Linked DNA regions of Schizosaccharomyces pombe. Changing the gene in region 3 together with the main gene of any one other region gives a genetic interaction. Each region holds a gene or a part of one and is shown on either strand. Other genes may lie near its edges. The genes, in order: rhp16, dad5, rad55 and psm1.

Region 1 (7,262 bases), on a different chromosome or scaffold from region 3:
GAGACTGCAAAGTTGTAGTTCTGCTGTCCCCATTTCTTTAATATGTAAACTGATAATTAACCAGAATATATGTGAGTAAATAAATGTATGTTATCTGTTAGCTACGCAGTTTGATATCTGTTTTAACGATATATAGAACTGCGGTGAGTTTTTACTTGCGATCTACAATGTAGCGGTATGCGGTATGTTAACTAACAATATTATATTTATTGTTATAAGAAGTCTGTTAGTATCGGTCACCGATATAGCTCATAACTGAACTGTGAAACGAGGTTCAGTAGAAGCTCCATTTACAATCTTACTAATAGTTTTTATCAACGGGTATCTATAATACAATGTAGAGCTTGTGACATATAGAAATACGCAACATGGTGTATCATAGAGTAGTCCAGTATTGCTGACATTATCTCCGCTTTAACAATCGTCCCTTTAGCTCTGCAAAATAGATAGTATATAAGGACTAGGGCCTGCCTGGCTTAAGTGAACTCGTTTTCTGGAAGAAAGCCCATTCATTCTCTGACCATTTGCTCTATATAAATTGATATTTCACAGGTTTGAAGATAGCCTCTTTCAAGATGTATATTAATCAAGAGGAAGATAATCGCATATCTTTAATGGAGAATGGTAGTCTTGAACAAAAGGTACGTTTAATCATTCTTTTATAATAAATCAACGGCTCACTAAGTAATTCTTCTTTATAGTGAGGCTCATGACCGTAGTCGTAAACTCGAATTATTAAGCATTAGAATCAATATTTTCGGTTTACAACTCAATATTATTATTAATCTCATACCGCTTGTCTTGCTTTTTGCTTTTTTTTGCCCTTGTATATATTTTTTGCATACTTTTCTGGCGGATTGTGAGATAGCCAAATCGACTTGCATAACCAGTGTTTTCAATTGTTTGATTTTTCATATGCCCAACTTGTCGGGCGATTGGAATATTACAGTTTGAAAAGAATGTTTGCAGTTTAAAAAGGATAAATATTTATGTTTGTTTGATGAGCTTTGCGTTTCCGAGCAGCAGTAAACCTCTTTAGTCTGGCAAGCAATACCATTAGTGTACTATTCATAATCTTATGCTATATAAAATCAAGGTGATTGAAAATTACATTGCTTGATATTTGTATTACAACAAAGAGCAGCGGGATTTTTTTTTTAAAAAAAGGTAGTTAAATTGTTTGATTATGTGTAAAAATGATTCGGAGATCCATTCGTAAAGAGAGGGAATGGTAATAAAAAAATAATTCATTACCCAAAGAAATGGTTAGCTATTTGTTCGCAGACCATATCATCTAATTTGAAAATAAATAAATAAATAAAATTAAAAATAAAAAGGTTTCAAATACAAATATTCGTTAAAGAATAATATCAGAAAGACACAAAAAGAGATTGAGGCTGTTCAAGGAACTTAGTGTCCATCAAATAAGGTGATAATTTAAATAATGTACTAGTCATTAAATTTTTCAAAAGAATAATTACAGGTCCAATTCAACAACCAAAACCTTTGATAAAATTGAAAAAGAAAGTATTTCCATCCTTATTGAACTTCACGCCCTATCAGAAGTAACCGATTTGAGGGCATCAGGACATGATTATCTCCCCATACCAAAAGCTTCTCAAGCGTTGGCTTTTTGCTTTCAAAATCGCATACCAATTTGTCATTCATTCCACGAATCCAGCTGACATCAAGTGCTTTTAGCATAGGTAATGGAAAATTGACAATATACTGTAATGCTTCATCAGTCACAAACGACATTCCATTTAAATCCAGAGTGCGAAGCGTATGCCCTGAATTAACCAATACTGCACGAACAGTTTTATCTCCAAGTGACAGACACCTTCTTAAGGACAATGTTTCTAAGCCTGACTGAATCTTCCATTCACCAAAAACTATAGAGGCCTCATCATCTGTTAACAGTTCCAAACCACTTAAATTTAGATGCTTAAGACGACCACAACAAGGACCTATACCTTGTTTCAAAACTTCATCAGTTAATTTTGTACAACCAGATAAACTAAGAGTATGCAAACCGCTTCCAATTTGGTTTAGTACATCTAATATACTTCCATCATTAATGATGCCGCCTGGTGATTCAATCTTCAAACTGACAAGATTTCTACAACCAGCTAATAGACGGACGCATTCATCATCAAGATAGAAAATTCTAGAGAGATTAAGGCTAATCAAATTTGGGCAACAGTCAACTATAGCGTTGATAACCGAAACATGAATTCGGGCAGTATCCGTAAGCTCTAAACTTATAAGCTTTGAACCCCGTTTTTTAAAAAAATTTATCCATTCTGAGGAAGAAACCAAAAAGGCACCTTGAAAAGATACATCTGTTAATTCAGTCAAATGATCCGCATAAAAGTGTAAAACTTGATCCTGCATTTGACCACAATAAGTAAGATGCAAAGTTTGAAGATTTGGGCAGTATTGAGCAATTTGGAAAAGTGAATCTGCTGTAATCTTTGAGCAATCATATAGTTTTAATTCAGTTTGACCCCCACTTAAGAATAATTTCACAGTAGTATCGTTAAGAGAGCGGTTTTTTGAAATTATTTGGCTAATTTTGTCCATATTCACTTGGCCAATATCCCCAAAAGCTTCGATATCATTTATGTATTCAGCAATAACTCGTATACACAAATCCTGAAGCTTAGGAACACTGATTTCTTCGTCCATGGTAGCGGCAGCCACCTTTTTACGGGTCAATGCTTTTCTTTTTCTCGTCCTTAATTCAGGTACCGATCGATCTTCAGCACCACGACTACAAGGATAACATAGCCACCCTTTCTCTGAATTGCTGTATTTGCTGTATGGGGTTATTGTAAAGCGACAATTACAGTGTGCGCAAAAATCTAGTTTGCCCGTATGCTCCCTTGCTTTATAAGAAAACCCAGCTCTTGAATTCATTGAAAAAGTGTCCTCGTTGTCTTCAGCTTCTTCATCCGTTTTCTTCTTCTTTTTTTGATTTCGTAGATTTCGTCGTTTCACTACTGGTATCTCAATTGTCGTTGTCGACATCGAGTTTTCATCTTCGTTGTTTTCTTCAACAGAAGTCGGTGTTTGAATAACTTCTGATTCTGTCCCAGTCGATTGCCCTGCTGACTCCTCGCTTTGACGAGGAGGACGAGCACGTCCTAATGCTGAAGCATTGATACCTTGAGACTGAATAATGCATTAGTAACTCCGAGCTAAGAAAGAGTCATCACATACTCTTAAAAATTCTGTTAAAGCAGAATTTGGCCCTCTCACCCGACTTCCACTTGACATTTTAAAGAAATCCTTAGTATGCTGAGGATAAGGTGGAAGTGTGGTTGAGTTTAATTAAATCGCTTCAGATCGCGTGGCAACTTGTCTCATACCAACCACTACTATGCATATATCTACTCTAAAAGTGGACCAATTACAAAATGAAGCTGTAGATATTAATTCAAACGATACAATTGATTCCATAAATTGGAAAAATACTCGCAATAACCATACTACTCAGGCGTCTCTTCAAGCAGACAATAATGATGAGCAAAGTAATGGGCAGGCTCCATTTTCTACTACTTATTCAGAGATAAATAACATTCATGATGTACCAGGCAATCAAGATGAATGGTCATCTTCTCCCATTGCGGGCATTATTGTAGAAAGTGAAGATGAGGAAGTGGTTGAAAACAATTTACATTCACAAATGGGGACGTCATGTAATAAAATAAACTCGAATAGTAATAAGGGAAAAGAAAATATGCATTTTGTTCTAGATGATAATGGTGATTCAAAGGGGAATGCTTCAAATCAACAAGTCGAGCGTGACGACAAGTTAGATATGGAGACAACGCGCTGGAACGGAAAAGAGTTTGAAGAACCTCTGTCAACAAACAAAAAATTGATTATCCAGTCAAACAACACCTCATCTCAACATTCGACACCCCCATTATCCATTTCTGATACCAGTACACACACCGGTAGCAGCACAGACAATGTAGAAGCAAATCCCAATACAGGTTTTTCTAGTGCCAGAAAACGTTCATTAAGGTCCTCGAATTTGAAAAAAAAGTTTGTGCCATTGTCATCTCCAGAAGAATCTAATGAATCCGAATTTATTGATGATGATGAAAGTGATGAAGTTGCTAGCATAATTGATATCAAAGAGGATGAAACTTTTGATAGTAAAGTAGAAATTCCAGAAGCTGCTCCAAGTTCTTCTACGGAAAGTGATGAAGAGTCAATCCCTTTAAGTTACCAGTCCAAACGAAGGAGGGTATCCGCTAGGGCTTCTTCTTCCGCGTCCTCTTCCTCTAGAACACAAGCAAAATCAATTCCATCACATGAAAGAACCCATTATCGTCTGATTCGACAACATCCTGAACTAGAACATGTTTGGGAGAAATTGGAAGAAGAAGCACCTCGTGAAGTGAAACAGATCGAGCAACCCAAAGAGTTGGTCCTAAACCTTCTCCCTTTTCAACGAGAAGGTGTATATTGGTTAAAACGACAAGAAGATTCCTCTTTTGGTGGAGGAATCTTGGCCGATGAAATGGGTATGGGTAAGACTATTCAAACAATTGCGTTGTTGCTTTCAGAACCTCGAGGTAAGCCAACCTTGGTTGTTGCTCCGGTTGTAGCAATTATGCAATGGAAAGAAGAGATTGATACACATACCAATAAAGCACTGAGTACATATCTTTATTATGGCCAGGCTCGTGATATTTCAGGAGAAGAGCTTTCGAGCTATGATGTTGTACTAACGAGTTACAATGTAATTGAATCAGTTTACAGGAAGGAACGCAGCGGATTCAGAAGGAAAAACGGTGTTGTAAAAGAAAAGTCATTACTTCATCAAATGGAGTTTTACCGAATTATACTTGATGAGGCCCATGGTATCAAATCAAGGACTTGTAACACTGCCAGAGCTGTTTGTGGCTTAAGAACGACAAGAAAGATATGTCTTTCAGGAACACCTTTGCAAAACCGTATTGGAGAATTATTTTCACTTCTTCGGTTCCTACGGGCAGATCCTTTTGCTTACTACTATTGCTTGCAATGTGAATGTAAATCTCTGCACTGGAGATTTTCCGATAGAAGTAATTGCGACGAATGCGGCCATAAACCAATGAGTCATACTTGCTATTTTAACGCTGAAATGCTAAAACCAATACAAAAGTTTGGATACGAAGGTCCAGGAAAGCTAGCTTTTAAAAAGGTGCATTCTTTATTAAAACACATTATGTTACGTCGAACAAAATTAGAGAGGGCTGATGACCTTGGATTACCTCCTCGAGTCGTTGAAGTGAGGAAAGATTTATTCAACGAAGAAGAGGAAGATGTATACCAATCTTTATATATGGATTCAAAAAGAAAATTTAATACATATCTTGCTGAAGGTGTCGTTTTGAATAATTATGCAAACATTTTCCAGCTAATTACACGAATGCGCCAAATGGCAGATCATCCTGACCTGGTGTTAGCTAGCAAACGAAAAACAGTTGATATTGAAAATCAGGAAAATATCGTCTGTAAGATTTGTGACGAAGTCGCTCAAGATGCTATAGAATCACGTTGCCATCACACATTTTGTCGACTCTGCGTTACGGAATATATCAATGCAGCTGGTGATGGAGAAAATGTCAACTGTCCAAGTTGTTTCATTCCCTTAAGCATAGATCTTAGTGCCCCTGCTTTAGAAGATTTTTCTGAAGAGAAGTTTAAGAATGCATCGATTTTGAATAGAATTGATATGAATAGTTGGCGTTCATCTACAAAAATTGAAGCATTAGTTGAGGAGCTTTACTTACTTCGTAAGAAGGACCGAACACTGAAGTCGATTGTTTTCTCTCAATTTACTTCTATGTTAGATCTCATTCATTGGCGACTTCGAAAAGCCGGGTTTAATTGTGTAAAGCTAGATGGTGGTATGACCCCCAAAGCGAGAGCAGCTACTATTGAGGCTTTCAGTAACGATATTAATATTACCATTTTTCTAGTTTCGTTGAAAGCAGGTGGTGTTGCTTTGAACCTTACAGAGGCATCTCAAGTGTTTATGATGGATCCTTGGTGGAATGGAGCTGTACAGTGGCAGGCAATGGATCGAATTCATCGTATTGGACAAAAAAGGCCGATAAAAGTAATTACCCTGTGTATTGAAAATTCCATTGAAAGCAAAATTATTGAACTACAAGAAAAGAAAGCTCAGATGATACATGCAACCATAGATCAAGACGAAAAGGCTTTGAACCAGCTTTCTGTCGAGGATATGCAATTCTTGTTCTCAAATTAGAATTTTGTTTTTTTAAAATTAGCCCAAATTTTGGCCGTTTCCTTTTTATATACCTGCCATATCTCCCTTTGCATTTTTTTTGTTATCCTAGTTTTTTGGACCGTAATTCCCTAAGTCAGTATATGCGTTTTGGAAGTTTATTTATTTTTTTGGGGATTCCTATTAATGGATATAATTTATTATTGAGTTGTCAATAGAACGGTTAAAGTTTTTTAAAACAAATTAAACATAGTTAAGATTTTATCGCTTCAATGTAAAGTCATTAACTTACCTTTGACTGATAAATTTGTAATAATAGTAACTCAATAGATAATCATTATATCTTCAATTTTAATATAATATTTTCGATTTTGGAATGTCTTTATACTTTTTGGACTTAGTAAATTCTTTATATCAATCAGTGCCTTAAACTCACTCAGCAACCCATAACTTCTGTTAAACTAGTGAACTTGCACACTGAAGGATTAAAAGTAAAAAGCCCAATAATTTCTCAAACAATTTCCTATTTATGGCATGACTAATAGTTCACCACGGGTGAAAAGAAGAACGGATACGCAATATTTGCATTCCGTCTCTTCTAAATTGCCCAAGGTTGACTTTGACACAAATAACGAAGAATTTTTTGAGGAAGAATTTGAGATTTATGATCCTTTTTATCGCGCAGAGCTACCTTGCCCGAAACCGTCATTATCAATATCGAAGCATTCAATTGCAAAAGTTCCATCAAATGTAAATAAACGATTAGAATTGCAACTTTTACTAACGTCTGGGACATTCTTACCTAATTCACGTCCTTATTTGAGTGAAAGAGTGAGAAAACACACTCATTTACTTTCAAATAGCATTACAGGCGATGATAAACCATCACTCATTCATGTTGATTTTACACCAGAGGAATGCTTTATTTTACAAGAAGCTAAACTAAAATTTGGACCGGTAAACAGTGTTCAGTTCAATGATGCTTATTCGACCCACATTTCTCCAAAAC
Region 2 (3,885 bases), on a different chromosome or scaffold from region 3:
AGGGTAGATGATTATCAAGGTAGGATGAAAATCCGCTCCACAAAGTTGTTAGTGATAAGTGGTAAAAGACGGTATGTGTTTGAGGTAACCATAATCGCCAAGATAGACAAGATGCAAGTGGAGCATTGTCGGCGTTAAAGTTAGTATTTTGATTTGTTTGAGCTATCAACATGAGTAAGTGTGCGGCGGCAGGCGAGTCGCAAAAGGAAAAAAAAAAGCCTTCATTTAGTTATCAGAGCATCGCCGACGTATACCTTTTTTCCATTGATAAATTTGTGTTAGTCAGTGCAGTTGTTCAACACAATCGGTCCTCCGTTTATCGGTAGCTCTTTTTTGCACTTTGACAAAGCACAAAATTCGTTTACATGCAATCATCTATTACGGATGTAAATGTCCGTCATAATCAAAGGAATGCCAACAACGCCAAGTGAAAGCGAGATGAGTTGGGAAAATAGGATCGCAATTTGACATTCCTACGTCTTCCTACGTCTTTCTTGGAATGAAGTAATCAACTCTTCGTAAATTAGCAGGGACGAGGAAAATATGCGACTGTTATCATTTTTAGCGCAATAAGGATAAGAAATGAGTGATTTAGGAAATAAGCAACTGGGAGATATCCATTATCACTTCCATAAGCGATAATGATAAACCGCAGGAAAAACACGTGTGAGCATGAAAAAGGGTATATATACATAGACGGAAAGGGGCTTCATCTTTTCTTTTTCTTTTGTTAGGGGCGTGGTGAATGGAAGTATTTCTTTGTTTTATGGGGAAGCGTACAAAATTGTGAAACGAAACGATGTATGTGTATGGAGTGTAGGAGTCATTCATTTTCATGAAAGAAACTATAATAAAAATGGGGTATATGATTAGAAAGGGATGAGTGAATGTTTGAAAAAATTACTTATAAAATGGTAATGAATATGATTAGAAAAAGCGGTATGAGGAAGCATGGTTACTAAATGAACCAACTTGATTATATAAAAAAAAAGAAACAAATTAAAAACTAATTTTCATCTAACTCAGGAATTCCTCCTTTGAAAATAGCCAAACATTAACTAAAAAAATTAAAAAAAAAAAAAGTAGAAAAAAAATGTAAATATTACAAATACTTCCCAAACTCCCATAAAGCATTCTATGACGATTTCCTTACACCAAGCAATTTTCCTGTTGGATTTTATTTGTCTCGACTGGTTTGTGTATCCCTGTTTCCTTTCTTTTGTTTCCAAGAGAATCATTTCCAGGGAATTGATACATTTGTCCATGCTAAGATAAAATCCATTGTTCGGTCAACTCACTTCCGATATATCTGAAACGAAAAAACAAAACCTGATTAGAAAAGCTATATGTTTTCACATATAAGAAGACTATATGTCAAACCCCATCCTAGCGTCGATATGAAATGGAACTCTGTGAAATGATAGATGTGGGGGACCTAAAAGATAAACCCCAGTGTAGTGAAATCTCGATGCTTTTGAAACTGAATAAAACCCGAGGATATTAAGACAAGTAGTTTATTAAAAAAAAAGGTTTTCCGATCGTAGTTGAGTAAAGTTTGAAAATTCAAACAATAATTAAAACAACGGATGCACATCACGCTGCTGCGTCTTCTCTTGCACGGACATTGACTTCCGTATGTAATTTGTCTAACGATCGTGCTCTTTCCATTTCTTTTTTCCTTTAAAATACTCATTTGCCTATCTTCCTCATAAGATGCCTAGCATGTCGAGCTTACGGAGAATTTTTATTTCCTTTGATTTGGACAAAGCACCTCATCCAACATGATTGTGATCGGAGCTTTGGAGCACTTTTCATCAGTTCCGTCTTCATCCTCCTTCTACACTTCCATGGAAATTATGCAAAACTTGATAATTCCATCCTTACCAATAATTTTGCCTATTTCCACGGAACTGACCCGAAAAATTTAGCAAAAGGAACGATTTCGGTATTACTTATTAGCTTGGAAATTATGTCTCGCTAAACCATATAACGAAAGTTTGGTTTTTTATCAGTAAGCGAAAAATTTACCGTCCCCCTTTTCCTTCTTGTCAGCTACATAAAAGATAGGTGCGCTGCGCTGGTCGCCTTTTTCTGCCACTCTTTCCACGCTATTTTACGCTCTTATTCATTTTTGAGGAATACTAACGTCGGCCGGTATTGTTGGAAATCGCTGCAATTTGTTAAATTGAAATACCACTCAAGTGGGTAATGGTCTCCTTTAATTGTCGATACTGAAGGTTGATTGCATTTTAGTGCGGTGTCTTAAAAGCTGCACTCGCCCATCACACACGCGTTTGGTTTGTTTACCTTCCATCTACCTGTCTGCCTTCTTTCACTTTCACCTTACACCATGCGTCGTTCTACCATTGTGCCAACTAGTCGAACAAGCAGTTCATCTCCATCTCCCAGTCAAATGAAAAGCTTTCAAATGAATCGTTTGGTGGACCAACTGTCCAAGTTGCAATCCAACATGTCTCATTTGGAAAACCACTTACATGTTACCGCAATTCAAGCAGAAGCCATCCGACGTCTTGGTGCTCTTCAGGCCTCGCTTCTGATGGCGTCTGGTCGCGTTATGTCCGAAGCGAGGATTCAAAAGTCTTCAGATGCTGTGGAAGAAGACGTTCCTATGTGAGTCTCCAACTTTTTTGATGCAGACCTCAAATGACAATGATAAAAAGGAGAATACAAGAGACAAAGTGCCCCAATGAAGGAGAAATATAACAGGAAAGGAAGTAGGAATGTGCTCTTTCTTAATTAGATGGGGCTATTTCTTATTTTACTGCAACAATGCGGTATTTGGGGCTTCTTTCAATATGTGGGTGTTGGAGTTGTATCAACTATGCATCCGGAATACGGCTTTTCGGCATTTTACGCTATGGGAGTTTTGCGACTCTCGGGCTGCACTCCCGAAACCTATGTTACTGCATTGTACGATGCAGTTCTGTAAAAAATAGCAGGCTAAAAGAGGGTGTTCTAGTTCGTCTAATAAGTGATCTCGTTCATTGGTCAGCTCGGTCGGCTAAGTAACCAAGGGAAACTGCAAAAATTGGATACCAGAAATGATTGGTCAATTGCGCTTCACAAAACAGTCAGTGTACCAATCATATGGTTTTTATTTGAGATAGCGCACAATCATTGGATAGCTAGCTAAAAAAAGGTAAAAGTGGTTCCTTTCGTTAGGCTTCTTTATTTTCACCTTACGATTTACCGAAGAGAGCTTCTTCGACCTCGCTTAGATGGGTGTGAACAACGCCGTCCCTTTGCCAACCTCAACGAAAAAAGAAAAGCAGGTTGTACTAATTTTAAACGTTTCAAACGATTTTGTAAATTGATTTCTTTAAGCTTTGGCTCCTCCTTATTACATACCTAATCAATAAATATCTGTTTTCTTTTGCAGTTTCTTCTTTTTTTGCTCTCTTCCAGGGAAAACGGAAATTTGATTTGAGGAAGCCATAGCGCCACCATTCCCCAATCTGTCTACAAATTACTTTTTTTTGTTCCACCACACCTCTGGATTGTATTCTAGCTTATATCTGTTTTATTTTTCTATATTTGTTTTGGTATTTTAGTTCGTTTTTGTTGTTTTATTTCCCCTTTTTAGATCGTTTTTGTTTTGGGGTTCACGTCTTTTTTGTTTAAAGTACCTGTTCATATCAAAGCAACTTGAACTTCTTGCTATTTTTACCTTCGCTCGTGTGGTTTGCACAATCATTTCAAAGTAGTACCTAACTAAACAACGTTGTTGGTGTGTCTTGGTATTCACTGCCATTTCGTGTTTTCCATTTAAAGAAGCTTTCTTGGTCCTAGCTTAAGATTTCCTGTTTTTTTATATCTTACCTTATATTATTATTTTTTTGTGATTTTTTACTACAACTTTTTTTT
Region 3 (4,340 bases):
TTCTGCAACCAAACACGCAGCTTCCTCACGAACTAGTTCCTGTTCCATAGTAATAAGCTTTGGGGACTCAGGATCACGGCTTCTAACATCATAAATGGAGTTAAGTAGCTTTTCTTTCTTAACACGGGTGGGTTGAACGCTAGCCTCAATATCACGGATGGTCTTCAGACTAACACGATATTGATCGTATCTGTCTACCATATGCTCCTCAAGTTCGCCAATTTCATATAAAAGTACACCAAGCTTATCACTGATATCGCTAATATCATCATCGCAATCTTCACCCCAATACGAAAGTTGATTGGCACATTCTTTGCGCTCCATGGCAACGTTTTCATAAGATCGAAGTAAATCCTTTTCCATCTTAACGAGAGCTGCAAGGCGTTTAGCCATTTCGGGAGTAAACATACCCACAGATGGATAACGGAATTGTCTGCCGAGTTTATTAACATTTACTGCACGACGGGTAGTAGAGGGAGGAATTTGATTCTGTTTCGCTTTAGGAGGCGCGCGAAGCGTATGAATAGAGTAAGATGGTTGAGTGCCCATCATCTTGCTAATTACTTGATAAACGATTTAAGACTTTGAAAATATGTATATATAAAAAGAGAAAGGAAATACTAATAAAAAGGTTAGTATGTTAATTAGAGGTAGGTTGAAACAATGTTCATTAAAACATACTTAATCCGCCAACTCACACTAGACAAAGCGAAGTATAAATAAGGTCAGGCTCAAAATGGACTTATTAGACTACACTTTCGAAAGTAACAAAAGAGCTGTAAAGTTCAGGTAGATTTTTAGCGACTTGAACCCATGTTTTAAAGATTTGAGCTAGGCTTGAGACGTCACTATGTCAACATGGAATTTATATGTCGAAAGCATAATGTCATTATTGTCCGTACACTGAATGCGACACCTAAACAATTGAAAATTAATAAGGACTTGTCAATCAGCAAACATATAGATATCTTAATCATTTCCCTCCTCTATGACAATTAGCAATTTCATAAAAATGAACGAACAAAATAGCTTATGATACATTATGAAAAGATATGAGATCACAAATAAATCATTGAGAAACTTTTGACCAACACTCGACAAGTATTCATAGTTGTTTATGCAACGTAATGAATAGGTATAATAAATTAATAGATATGGGCAAAACAACCATCACTATGCTAAAAAATTCGTAACTGAAGCCACCATTTTTACCTAGGACTCACATTCCAAAATGGATCTCTTACGTCGTTGTGAGCTATTGGTAGGAATACTTTGATAATCCTGAATACCAGTAGATGTTAACTGAAAAGCCAACTCTGATTCTGCAGAATGAGCTGGTGGCTGCTTTGCCATGAATGCATAGCGCAGAAGCTGATGAGAGGGACGACTCTGTCCATCTTTTGATTCTTCAGTTGAATGCCTACTGTAAAGAATGAGCCGATAAGATAGATTATCTAACCAATTAGTGCTGAGAAGCGGTATCAACTTAGCACCTATCCCACTAACAACTTTTGAAGTCATCTGGGTGGTAACAAAGATAGCCACATAACAAGAGGATGTAATTTTGCTTAACAAAGAACTGATTGTACCGATTGCCTTTTTTCTGCGGTTTATTGTTGTTTTGGTAGAGGAGTTATGAAATGCAAAATTCGAGTCGTCTTTACTCGAGAACTCATTTTCTTTGTTTAACGTCAAAGTGTTTTCTTTTTGAGATGAATCTGAAAGGGAGCTTTTTTTGCTGGTATTACGACGAAGACGTAGATAAGCATAATCTTCTGGACTGGTTGGATATGCAAGTTGAATAGGCATTGATAGGTTGTCAATAATTAATAATCCAATTTCTTTAAGATGTTTTTCTTGATCGAAATTTCGTAAAAAAGCTAGAATATTCACTAAATTGGGTGCATATACAACATCGAGAAGATTTAATAACTCATCAGTATCGCATTTTTCCTCTTCATCTTGGGAAGAAGGGACGTGATTGTCTAATAGTTGACGAAGTCTCTCCATGGGAATTGGTTGACAAGTTTCGACCCAAATCACACGAGAACCGGAAAGAAGAGCGTTTGCAGTAATCTGTAAAGCCAAACTTGTTTTTCCCATCCCAGGTGCTCCACATACTTCAGAAATATACCCTCTTTTAAGACCACTTCCTCCAAACGCATCATCCAATAATTTTGAATTAAAGCCGAAACCTGGAGCAGAAAATGCTTCGTACGCACGAATAGCAGGTTGAGTCACTAGACGATCTAAAAAGTATTAGACACAGTTAGCTAGGCTGGAAGTCGCATACGTTGACTAGACAGCATTTATTTCAATGAAGGTTAAATCCAGCACAGTGCGACCTACTAGAATAACAGCGATACAGTTTATATTAAATTGATAACAGCATAAAAAGGATATAGGAAAATTTCCCTTTACATGAGAAACAACGATACGTTGTAAGGTTTGGAGGTGTTGGTAGAACGACAAAGGAAATCCTACGTGTTTTACTTTGCAATCATTTCATTAAATGTTGTTTCTTATAAGGAATAAATTATTTTAGTCTTAAGGTTAAGCAGATTAGAAGGTAACAAATTCGTAACCTTTATACATAATGGGAAATTTGACTAGGTAGGTCAACAGGAATGCAAGAGTAAGCTCAAGTTCATTTGAATCTATGATTCATTACTGCCTTTGACTTTGAACTTTAAACTTTGGGTTCATATAACGCAACATTTACATTTGTATTGAAACTCAAGAGGGTTTTAATCAAAATAGCTATTATTTTCGTACTACATTCCGTTTATGAAATAGCGTGTCGACCGATATGTGTGCAATTAGTTTACTATGTACACAATACTCATTTTATTGAAGAAATACTAAAATGGAAAATTATTAACAAAAATCGATTGCATGCCATGCTTCAATAAACGTATAAGCTCGTCAACGAAAAGAAATTGACGGAAGTTCCCATTTTCAAAGTACAATACAAGCAGTATTTATTTTTCAAAAATTTAAAATCGGTTAGATTTTTTCTTAAAGTTATGTATAAACAAGGTCTCATATACTAATAATATGTGTATATATTAGATTTCGTTGATAAAAAAGGTTCGTACCACTACACTAAATTACGCCCTCCAGTAGAACATAGGAGCTGGGGTACTACAATTTTTTCTTTTAGGCATTTACTAATCAAGTTCTGCCAAGTCATTGCCATAGTTAAGCATTTTCTCTTTTCAGAATTGAAATTCTGTAATATAGAAAAAGAATTTTAAATTTATGGAAATTGGTATGAACTTGGTATTTTACTAACATAAACGGGGAAAATGAGCCATGAATTTTCACCTGAAAATACGGCGGTTCTGTTCGAAGCCATGAAGCAGGAGCAGCATAATAGGAGACGTCGTGTTCCTATGGAGAGACGAAGAAGGGTGGTTCTAGCCTGCTTTAACTGCAAAGCCCGGAAAGTTCGTTGCGACGGGGCAAACCCATGCAAAGCTTGTGCTTCCAATAATTTGGAATGCACATATCCAGTAAAGGATGAAAAAGAAATGGATTATTCTAAGGACTACTTTATTGATCTTTCAAAAAGATACAAGTGTTTAGAATATATTGTTGAACGTCTTTGTTCCACCAAAGTTTCGACTTATACTACACCTTCATTGATTGAAGTTTGCAATCGTATAAGCAACCAAAAATCACTATTATCTTCAGATGTCTTTTCCCTCAATAGTGAAAGCACCAATAGTCAACGTGACGTGGATACCCTTACACAAGGTGCACTTGTTTGTTCACAAATTCAGCAAGATCCAACGGTCGTAGCAGAGGATACGAACAATGGAATCAATGCTGATGCTAGCGATCAAAGCGTTGACGAAATCATGAAATTAATTGGAAAAATAAAAGTTGACTCTAACGGCGAATCCCGTTATATAGGAGCTTCTGCTGGTGAAGCATTCGTTGACTCTGTTCAAAGTGAACTACTTGTCGATCCTTCTTTTTCCGAGCTGAGCGCGTATTCCCATACCCATCACAGTTATCCTCCGAATGAACATGATGTAAATGCTGTTCAAAAAGCGCTGAGTCTTCTCCCTCCTCCTGAAGTTTCAGATTTTCTTATCAAATCTTTCTATGGCCATGTTCAAGCAAATTTTTTCTTTTTCCATGAAACATTACTTCGTTATCGTTTAAACCTTATCATGAGCTTCCAAAATCCATCCGTTGACCCTGGCTTTCTTTGCTTGCTAATGATGATCTTTGCACTTGGTAGTATGTTTGCTCACATGGAAATTCGTTCTGCTAGCAATCCTTTTGACAACCCAGGAAAACAGTTTTTTGATACTGCTAGGCTTTTGTTA
Region 4 (7,096 bases), on a different chromosome or scaffold from region 3:
TGTGCAACCAAACATATCCATCAACTCCCAAAGTCTTGCCAGAAAACTCCTCGACATGAGAGCTTTTCTGCATAGGCTTCAAAAGTCCCAAAAGACCTTTAATTCCCATGTTTAAAGCATTCGTCAAGCACCAAAAGAATGCAGGTGCGTTATCGAGATGTTGGTTCTGTAACAGTTTTAACGTAGTACCCTTGGAAGTGTGTTGTGTATCTGATCAACAAATATATTCTTGCAGTCGATAGGCCCAAAACGAACAAGTATAAAATTTACTTTATCATTAAGAAAGGATAAATATAAAAGGCTTTGTTATTGTTTATGTGTGAAATAATTTAAGGAGCCGGCTATCATTGTTTGAGTATGCTGGTGTACTTCTTTTCTAAACATCTATTCAATCGAAATCATTAAAATCATGATAATACTATAAGTAAGTTTTTTTCTTTAAAGTTCTTTGTTTGAAATCTATCGTGATTGTTAACTAAGACTACGGTGAATCAATCAACCATTACCAAATCATTGAATTTAGCTGTATGAGGAAAACTCAAGCGCAAAATTAATATTTTAAAGTTCTATAAGCTGCGGTTTTAAAAATGTAGTGCGGTTAGCATCTAGTTGGGTTTAAACATATTTTAAACTATTCGTCGCTAATAAAACGTTTATTCTTAAAAGTATTCTTGCTAGTTTGTGACTGCAAATACTGTTAAACTAAAAAGGAAAATGCAATAGTTAGTTTCCGGAGAAAGCCTTCTAGAATAGTAGAGACTTCTCAAAATTGTATGCAGCCAAATTCATTAGTTAACAAACAGTCAAGGGGTGAGCCGAATCGTCTAAGCGTAACTGCGTTACTGGAATTATATTGAAAACATTAACCTCACTTAAACCCAACTTCCTTGAAACTAGGGATTAAACATAAACGTAGCTGACAATTGTGACTTATAATTAATGTTTCTATCATTAGCCCAGTCAATTCAGAGACAAAATCAATTAAGGACATAAAGAAAAAGCGTTGTAAATTAAAAAAGTCCTTGATCAATTATAGAAGGAAACTTAAAACAATTAAAATTAAATTCGTTAGAAATAAATAAATTACGCAAATATATATTTGCCATCCCTATTAAACATAAAGTATTCTTAGAATATATTAACACAGACATTAAGCAGCATATCACAGGTTAATATTATCATTTACTCCACATAACCTTCCAACTGTTTTTCGTTAGTATTTTAAAATTAAGAAAAAGTAATCCCTTACGTTGATTGATAATGTTCGTGAAGAATTCTCCTGTTGATCTCTATAAATACCCACTAAAGCTTCTGATTTACTGAACAACTGATTTTTCAAGGAAATGACAACAAATTGAAAACCGCTGGATGCATGCTGTCTAATATAGTTGGCAATCTTGGTAACGTTGGTTTGATCCAAAGCTGCATCAATTTCATCCAATACAAAAAATGGGGATGGCTGATAAGAGTGGATAGCAAATAGCAGAGCCAAAGCAGCCATGGTCTTTTCTCCTCCAGAAAGTTGATCCATATCTCTAAATCTCTTCATAGGTGGCATTGCATGGAACTTGATTCCTCCAAGATATGGCTCATCGAGGTCATCCAAAGTCAAATACGCTGTTCCACCAAGAGGAAAAGCAGGACTTTTGGTAAGTTCCTTATATATTGGATCGATTTGTTCCGAGATATGCGAAAAGGCAGCTTGAAATTTTTGCAATCTCTTTTGCTTAACGGCATTGAAGCGTTCTTTTGCGTTTTTGGCTGCTTTACGAGCAGCAGCAAATTCTTCATCTAACTTCGCCAAGCGAGTTTCTACTGTTTCAAGTCTCTCAATAGCCCTTAAATTAGGAGACATCTGATCCAGCTCTTCCGAATACTCTCTCAATTTTTCTTGAAGAACAGAAGCCATACTCTCAGAACCGTCATTGCGTAACTCTTCATCCAGTTCATCGTAATCCACTTCTACTCCAAATTTCTCAAAATTTATTACTGGTTCAGACGGCTCTTCGCCCATGGTGATATCACCGCTGTTTGAGACATCATCTATAGGTATGCTCGTCAAAGATCCTTCGCGTAACGGAACATCTATATCTTCTAGTTTGCATTTTCGTAAAATTGCGTGCCATTCAGATACATAGCGGTCAATCTCCGATTCTAAAAGAGTAATGTTTCCTGATAACTTTGTTAACTCAGACACTAATCGTTTGCCCACTAGCTTTTTCTCGGATGCAGCTAATAAAATTTTTTCAGTTTTAGAGTTCTCACTTGCAAAATCCTCCTTTAATAATTCAAGCTCAGCCTCGGCAGTTGCAACTTCTGATTCAAGTGCTTCCCGATTTTGCTCGTAATTATCAATAGATTCCTGATCTTTTTCAATGAATTTATGCATACGCTCTAATCGTAACCTGGTATCTGAAACACGTTGTTTTTCAAAACTAATACGATTTTCAAGTAATGATTTTTGCTTGGTGAATTCGAGTTGTTTTTGTGTAAAACTTTGAGTAAAAGTGCGATGTATCTCATCGTAAGTATGTATATCACTTATCCCAATTCGTTTGCAAAACCCGGAGAATATCTTTTCCTCAACCTTTTCTACTTGAATTTGAAGCTCATCTCTACTTTTAACAAAGTTGCGAAGTTCCATTTCCAATTCTGACAAGTGAGGCTGTTTTTCTTTGATTAAAGATTCGTAATGTCCAATTTCCTTTTTTTTGTCTTCCACGGATCTAGAAACTACTGTATATTTGTCTTTGAGTAGAGATATCTCAGATTCAAGACTATGCAACTTGACAGTATCACTTTCTGTAATCACACAAGATGACTTTTGATATTCTATTTCACCAATTTGATGCATAAGTCTATCTTTTGTTTGAGTAAGCAGATCAAAATCATGGTCATCCCAGTGTTTCGCCGACCGGTTGTTTGAAGATCCACCAGTAATCAACCCTGTTTTATGTATAACCGTTCCCTCTAAAGTAACTGTCTTGGCATTGAGACGTTTGTTATAGGAAAGGTCTCGAGCAACAGTCATTGAATCACAAATGAGTGTATTTCCAACTGCACTAATCATTACACGTTCATATTCAGACTCAAAATTCAAAACGTCAATTGCAAGTCGGGCGCCTTTGTGTGTTCCACGAAATTTTTGATTAACGGGACTGGCTGCTATGGTGTCCATTGGAAAAAAGGTCATAATACCTATGCGTTGCTCTTTTATATAGTCAATACACTCTTTAGCAACTGCCTGCGTTTCGACGACAATTGCGTCAAAATTTTTGCCTAAAGCAGCAGCGATTGCGCTTTCATATTTCTTTTGAGTAGGAGTACATAAGTCAATGATTCTTCCTTTGACTTCAGGATATATCCTTTTCAAAGCATACAATGCTTCTCTTTTTTTAGCATCCTGTTTGGATTCATTGCGGTCGGCACTTGCCTCTAAAATTTTCTGTAAACAAGATTGAAGCTCTTCATTTAATTCTTGTGTTTTATGAAAAAGCTCAGAATAAGTCAACCTCTTCTTCTGCTGATCATGCTTTTCAAGTTCCAAACTTTCAATCTTTTCATTTATTTTAGCAAGCAAATCCGCTCGCTCGGTATCAAGAGAAGAAACACTTTCATGAAGGCTTTTAATCTTCGACTCTAAGTCTCCAACGATGCTCGTTAATGAATCCTTTGATTGAGAAGTAACTTTAATATTCCTATTTAACGTCTGCAATTTGAACAATAGATTTGAGTTTAATTTGTCCGCCTCACTTCGAAGTCCTTCATACTCCTCTTTATCCTCTGGTAACAATCGCAACCCTTTGAGTTGCTCTTTTTCCTGCATGTCTTTTAAAAACTCTTTTTCAGCAGCTGAGAGTGAAGTCAATTGATTTTCTAATACTTGTAACGTACTAGCTTGGTCAGAATAATCTTTTTCTATTTCCGCAGCTTTTCTTTGAATTTTTCGGAGATTTGACTTAGACTCTAGGGCTTTCTCGGCAATTGAAATGAGCTCTGGACGTTTCGAAGCAATCAACTTTTCTTGTTTTCGAACTTTTCTATCGAATGCAAGAAGGTTTCTTCGTATACTGCCCTCTTTTTCTTTCAACTTTTCTATCTCTTTAGTGTTCTCATCTCGCCTTTCGATAAGTTGAATGGAATCTGCCTTTAATCGAGTAACCTCTGCCATATTAGAACTAATACTTTTCTCTAGATGAAAGAGTTTCCATAAAAGGTAAACTAACTGCGCAGAGTCTCGTTTTTCTTTTTGACTTTGATAACGCTCGGCTTCAGTTTTCTGTTCTTGATATTGGCGTAACTCAGCGTTGATACCACGTTTCTTGTTAAACGAATGAGCAGATAAATTTACAGCCTTGTCCTGCTCGTCTTTAGATTTATCGTACTCAGATTTATATTCCAGAGAGCCACTTATTTGTTCAACAAGCTTTGAAAGTTCTAAAGGAGATTGCGAAGCAATGGTTTCAACATCACCTTGAAAAACTAAGAAATTTCGAGCTCGAACAAGAATATTCTCCTTTTGGAGAGATCCGCAGTATTCAGAAAACGTAACTATTTCTTCATCAATTTTGTATTCAGTAGCACCAGAAGGAGTGATTGCGCGTTTATACTCTCTTTGCTCCCCATTATCCAACTCATACATAAGTTTCACATATGCTGTAGTAGGATTACTAGAATCAGTGAAATCTGTATTATCTCTTTGCAGTATTTTCCCCCGATAGATCAGTTCTTTAACATTAGTTGATCGTAAATGAGAAGACTTGACCCCTAAAACAAAAGAAATGGCATCCATTAAATTCGATTTTCCGGCTCCATTAGGACCGATAATCGAGGTAAAGTCCTCAAAAGGACCTATAATTTGATGTCCTCGATAAGACTTAAAGTTTTCAACTTCCAGTCTTAGTAAACGTCCCATTAGGAAAACTTGGTAAAAGGAATGTACAAGGTGTGTATGAAACTCGCGTACGCGTCTTTACTTGATTAGATATTGTTACCTACTCATTACGATTACATCTCATAAAGTTTCAGAAATCCACGATATAATATATAGTGCAACTTGATATTCACTGTAACAAGAACCTCGTTATTATGATATTATCCTTCCAGCGAATTACTATTCTAAGCTGCATAGCCCCTGCCTATATATGTACGATGCATCGTTATTGAAAGAAGTTTGCTGCATATAAATAGGAAGAAAATTGATGATAACAACATCCGTTTGTTTCATTATTAATGAATTTGTGGTACTCCAATCACCAGTTAAAAAATATGGCAAATAATTTCAAAGAAAATTCTCGTCAACTGATATTAACTCAATCATAATATAGATGAGCCATAAAATATTAACATTAATATCGTAATGCAATGTAGCAGTAATATTATATAATCGTAGTCAGGTAAAATATATAACAAATCACCATATTAACCCATTCGCAAAAAACTTTGATGTTTAAGCTACTCAGATCAATCAGTACATATCTTGTTAGAACTAAGGAATTAAATTATTCAATTATATAAGCGTTAAGATGGATGAATAATAGATTGGTGAGACAGATTTGGGATAGTGATGTATATAATAGAATATTAACATATAATTTACGAACTCTCCTTTATCCTCTTTATTCGATCAGAGCGTCCGTTAAAACAACTTACGCACGGTTTTTAGCCTCCCTTAGGCTTGTTATTGATATTCGCAGCATTGTCTATGAATAGTGAAAGTGTTGATTCAGATGTCGCGGCCTCTACTAGTAATAAGGGAAATGAGTTATGTAGCTCTTCCACTGACATTACGTCTTTATCAGTGAGTTCCCCGAATGAATCGGTTATTCATTCCAGTCACTCTGCAAGTGAAGCTGATGAGTACGTTTGCAAATTAAGTTATGAGGGTAATAGAAAGAAAAGAATTTATAATGGCTCTGCTGAAGCGGGTAAAGAAAAGAAGCTTCAAAAACAGCGGGCCCAAGAGGAAAGGATTCGACAAAAAGAAGCAGAGCGTTTAAAACGTGAAAAGGAACGTCAACAACGAGAGCAAGAGAAAAAGCTAAGAGAACAGGAAAAAATCGCCGCTAAGAAAATGAAAGAATTAGAGAAATTAGAGAAGGAGCGGATTCGATTGCAGGAACAACAAAGGCGGAAGGAGGAGAGGGATCAAAAGCTTCGTGAGAAAGAAGAAGCACAGCGCCTTCGTCAAGAACAAATCCTTAATAAGGAAAGACAACAATTGAAGTTAAACAACTTTTTCACCAAAGGAGTTGAGAAACGAATCGCGCCAAACGAAAATTTTGTAGCTGACAAAACGGATGAACTGAATGAGTTTGAGAAAGAGTTTCGCCCTTTTTTTATAAAGCATCAGATGTCCCTTTCCAAATATCCATCTCCGAACGAATCTGATTCTTTTTTGGATGAAGTCCTCTCAACCTCTAAATCTTATCCTTTAAAGCTAAACGACATTTTTACACCATCAGATGCTGTAAGCTCCGCAAACAGTTTAGGTGTTAGTAATAGAAATTCCGAAAACGAGGTTCGACAATTAATGAGCGCATATCAAGATCCATCTGTTTCAAAACCTCAAGAAATTTTATCTTGTTTATCACAGATTCCTATTAAATTCATTTTCTTTTATCAGGATGTTCGCCCTCCATATTTTGGATCTTACACGAAAACCCATTCCCATGGTTCTAACGTTTTATTGAATCCCTGGCTTGAAGATGAAGACATAGACTACACATATGATTCAGAAGCAGAATGGGTAGCTGATGAGGAAGATGATGGAGAAGATTTAGAAAGTGAAGATGAAGAGGTAGATAATTCCGATGATATTGTAGAGGATGGTGATAATGCTTTTGTGGATGATGAGGATGATGACAAGGATAGTGTCAATGCTTCTAATACCCATCGTTCCTCCGGCCCATTAGAGGTAATCGTAGAAGGTCCGGTTTGGGATTCAAAGTTTCTTCCTGACTTTAATTGCTTATCTTTAATTGAACCCATTAGTTCATTTTCAGCATCTACATATCTCCAAATTGATCCTAAAGAGGATTTATGGGCTTCTCAAGATACTGCTCCAGCGTCTAGTGGAATGACAATTGGACCTACC

The links.
Region 1: mutations in rad55 (region 3) and rhp16 impair growth when combined (synthetic growth defect), as found in Schizosaccharomyces pombe (one study listed by BioGRID).
Region 2: mutations in rad55 (region 3) and dad5 impair growth when combined (synthetic growth defect), as found in Schizosaccharomyces pombe (one study listed by BioGRID).
Region 4: mutations in rad55 (region 3) and psm1 impair growth when combined (synthetic growth defect), as found in Schizosaccharomyces pombe (one study listed by BioGRID).

The regions. Positions count from the first base shown.
Region 1 is NC_003421.2:101,697-108,958, reverse strand, and holds rhp16 (ATP-dependent helicase), read left to right. Parts: upstream 1-3,174; 5' UTR 3,175-3,222; coding exon of another isoform or gene 3,223-3,279; 5' UTR 3,280-3,382; coding exon 3,383-6,274; 3' UTR 6,275-6,535; downstream 6,536-7,262. Other genes in the region: SPOM_SPCC330.19C (uncharacterized protein), read left to right, coding at 622-641, 702-954; rhp7 (DNA repair protein), read right to left, coding at 1,540-3,174, 3,223-3,279; raf1 (CLRC ubiquitin ligase complex WD repeat subunit Raf1/Dos1), read left to right, coding at 6,788-7,262. UniProt on the Schizosaccharomyces pombe protein: Involved in global genome repair (GGR) via nucleotide excision repair (NER), in conjunction with rhp7, after UV irradiation.
Region 2 is NC_003421.2:1,669,071-1,672,955, reverse strand, and holds dad5 (DASH complex subunit Dad5), read left to right. Parts: upstream 1-2,093; 5' UTR 2,094-2,350; coding exon 2,351-2,635; 3' UTR 2,636-3,012; downstream 3,013-3,885. Other genes in the region: SPOM_SPCC417.03 (uncharacterized protein), read right to left, coding at 592-713, 905-953. UniProt on the Schizosaccharomyces pombe protein: Component of the DASH complex that connects microtubules with kinetochores and couples microtubule depolymerisation to chromosome movement; it is involved in retrieving kinetochores to the spindle poles before their re-orientation on the spindle in early mitosis and allows microtubule depolymerization to pull chromosomes apart and resist detachment during anaphase.
Region 3 is NC_003424.3:2,065,456-2,069,795, forward strand, and holds rad55 (DNA recombination mediator, RecA family ATPase Rad55/Rhp55), read right to left. Parts: upstream 2,460-4,340; 5' UTR 2,310-2,459; coding exon 2,294-2,309; intron 2,250-2,293; coding exon 1,213-2,249; 3' UTR 987-1,212; downstream 1-986. Other genes in the region: eisosome BAR domain-containing protein Pil2, read right to left, coding at 1-549; SPOM_SPAC3C7.04 (transcription factor), read left to right, coding at 3,309-4,340. UniProt on the Schizosaccharomyces pombe protein: Required for radiation resistance and meiotic viability and acts in recombination and recombinational DNA repair pathways.
Region 4 is NC_003423.3:2,538,562-2,545,657, reverse strand, and holds psm1 (mitotic/meiotic cohesin complex ATPase subunit Psm1/Smc1), read right to left. Parts: upstream 4,943-7,096; 5' UTR 4,916-4,942; coding exon 1,250-4,915; exon of another isoform or gene 1,204-1,249; coding exon 1,183-1,203; 3' UTR 501-1,182; downstream 1-500. Other genes in the region: exonuclease I Exo1, read right to left, coding at 1-109; histone H3-H4 chaperone, CAF assembly factor (CAF-1) complex subunit A Pcf1, read left to right, coding at 5,705-7,096. UniProt on the Schizosaccharomyces pombe protein: Involved in chromosome cohesion during cell cycle and in DNA repair. Central component of cohesin complex. The cohesin complex is required for the cohesion of sister chromatids after DNA replication.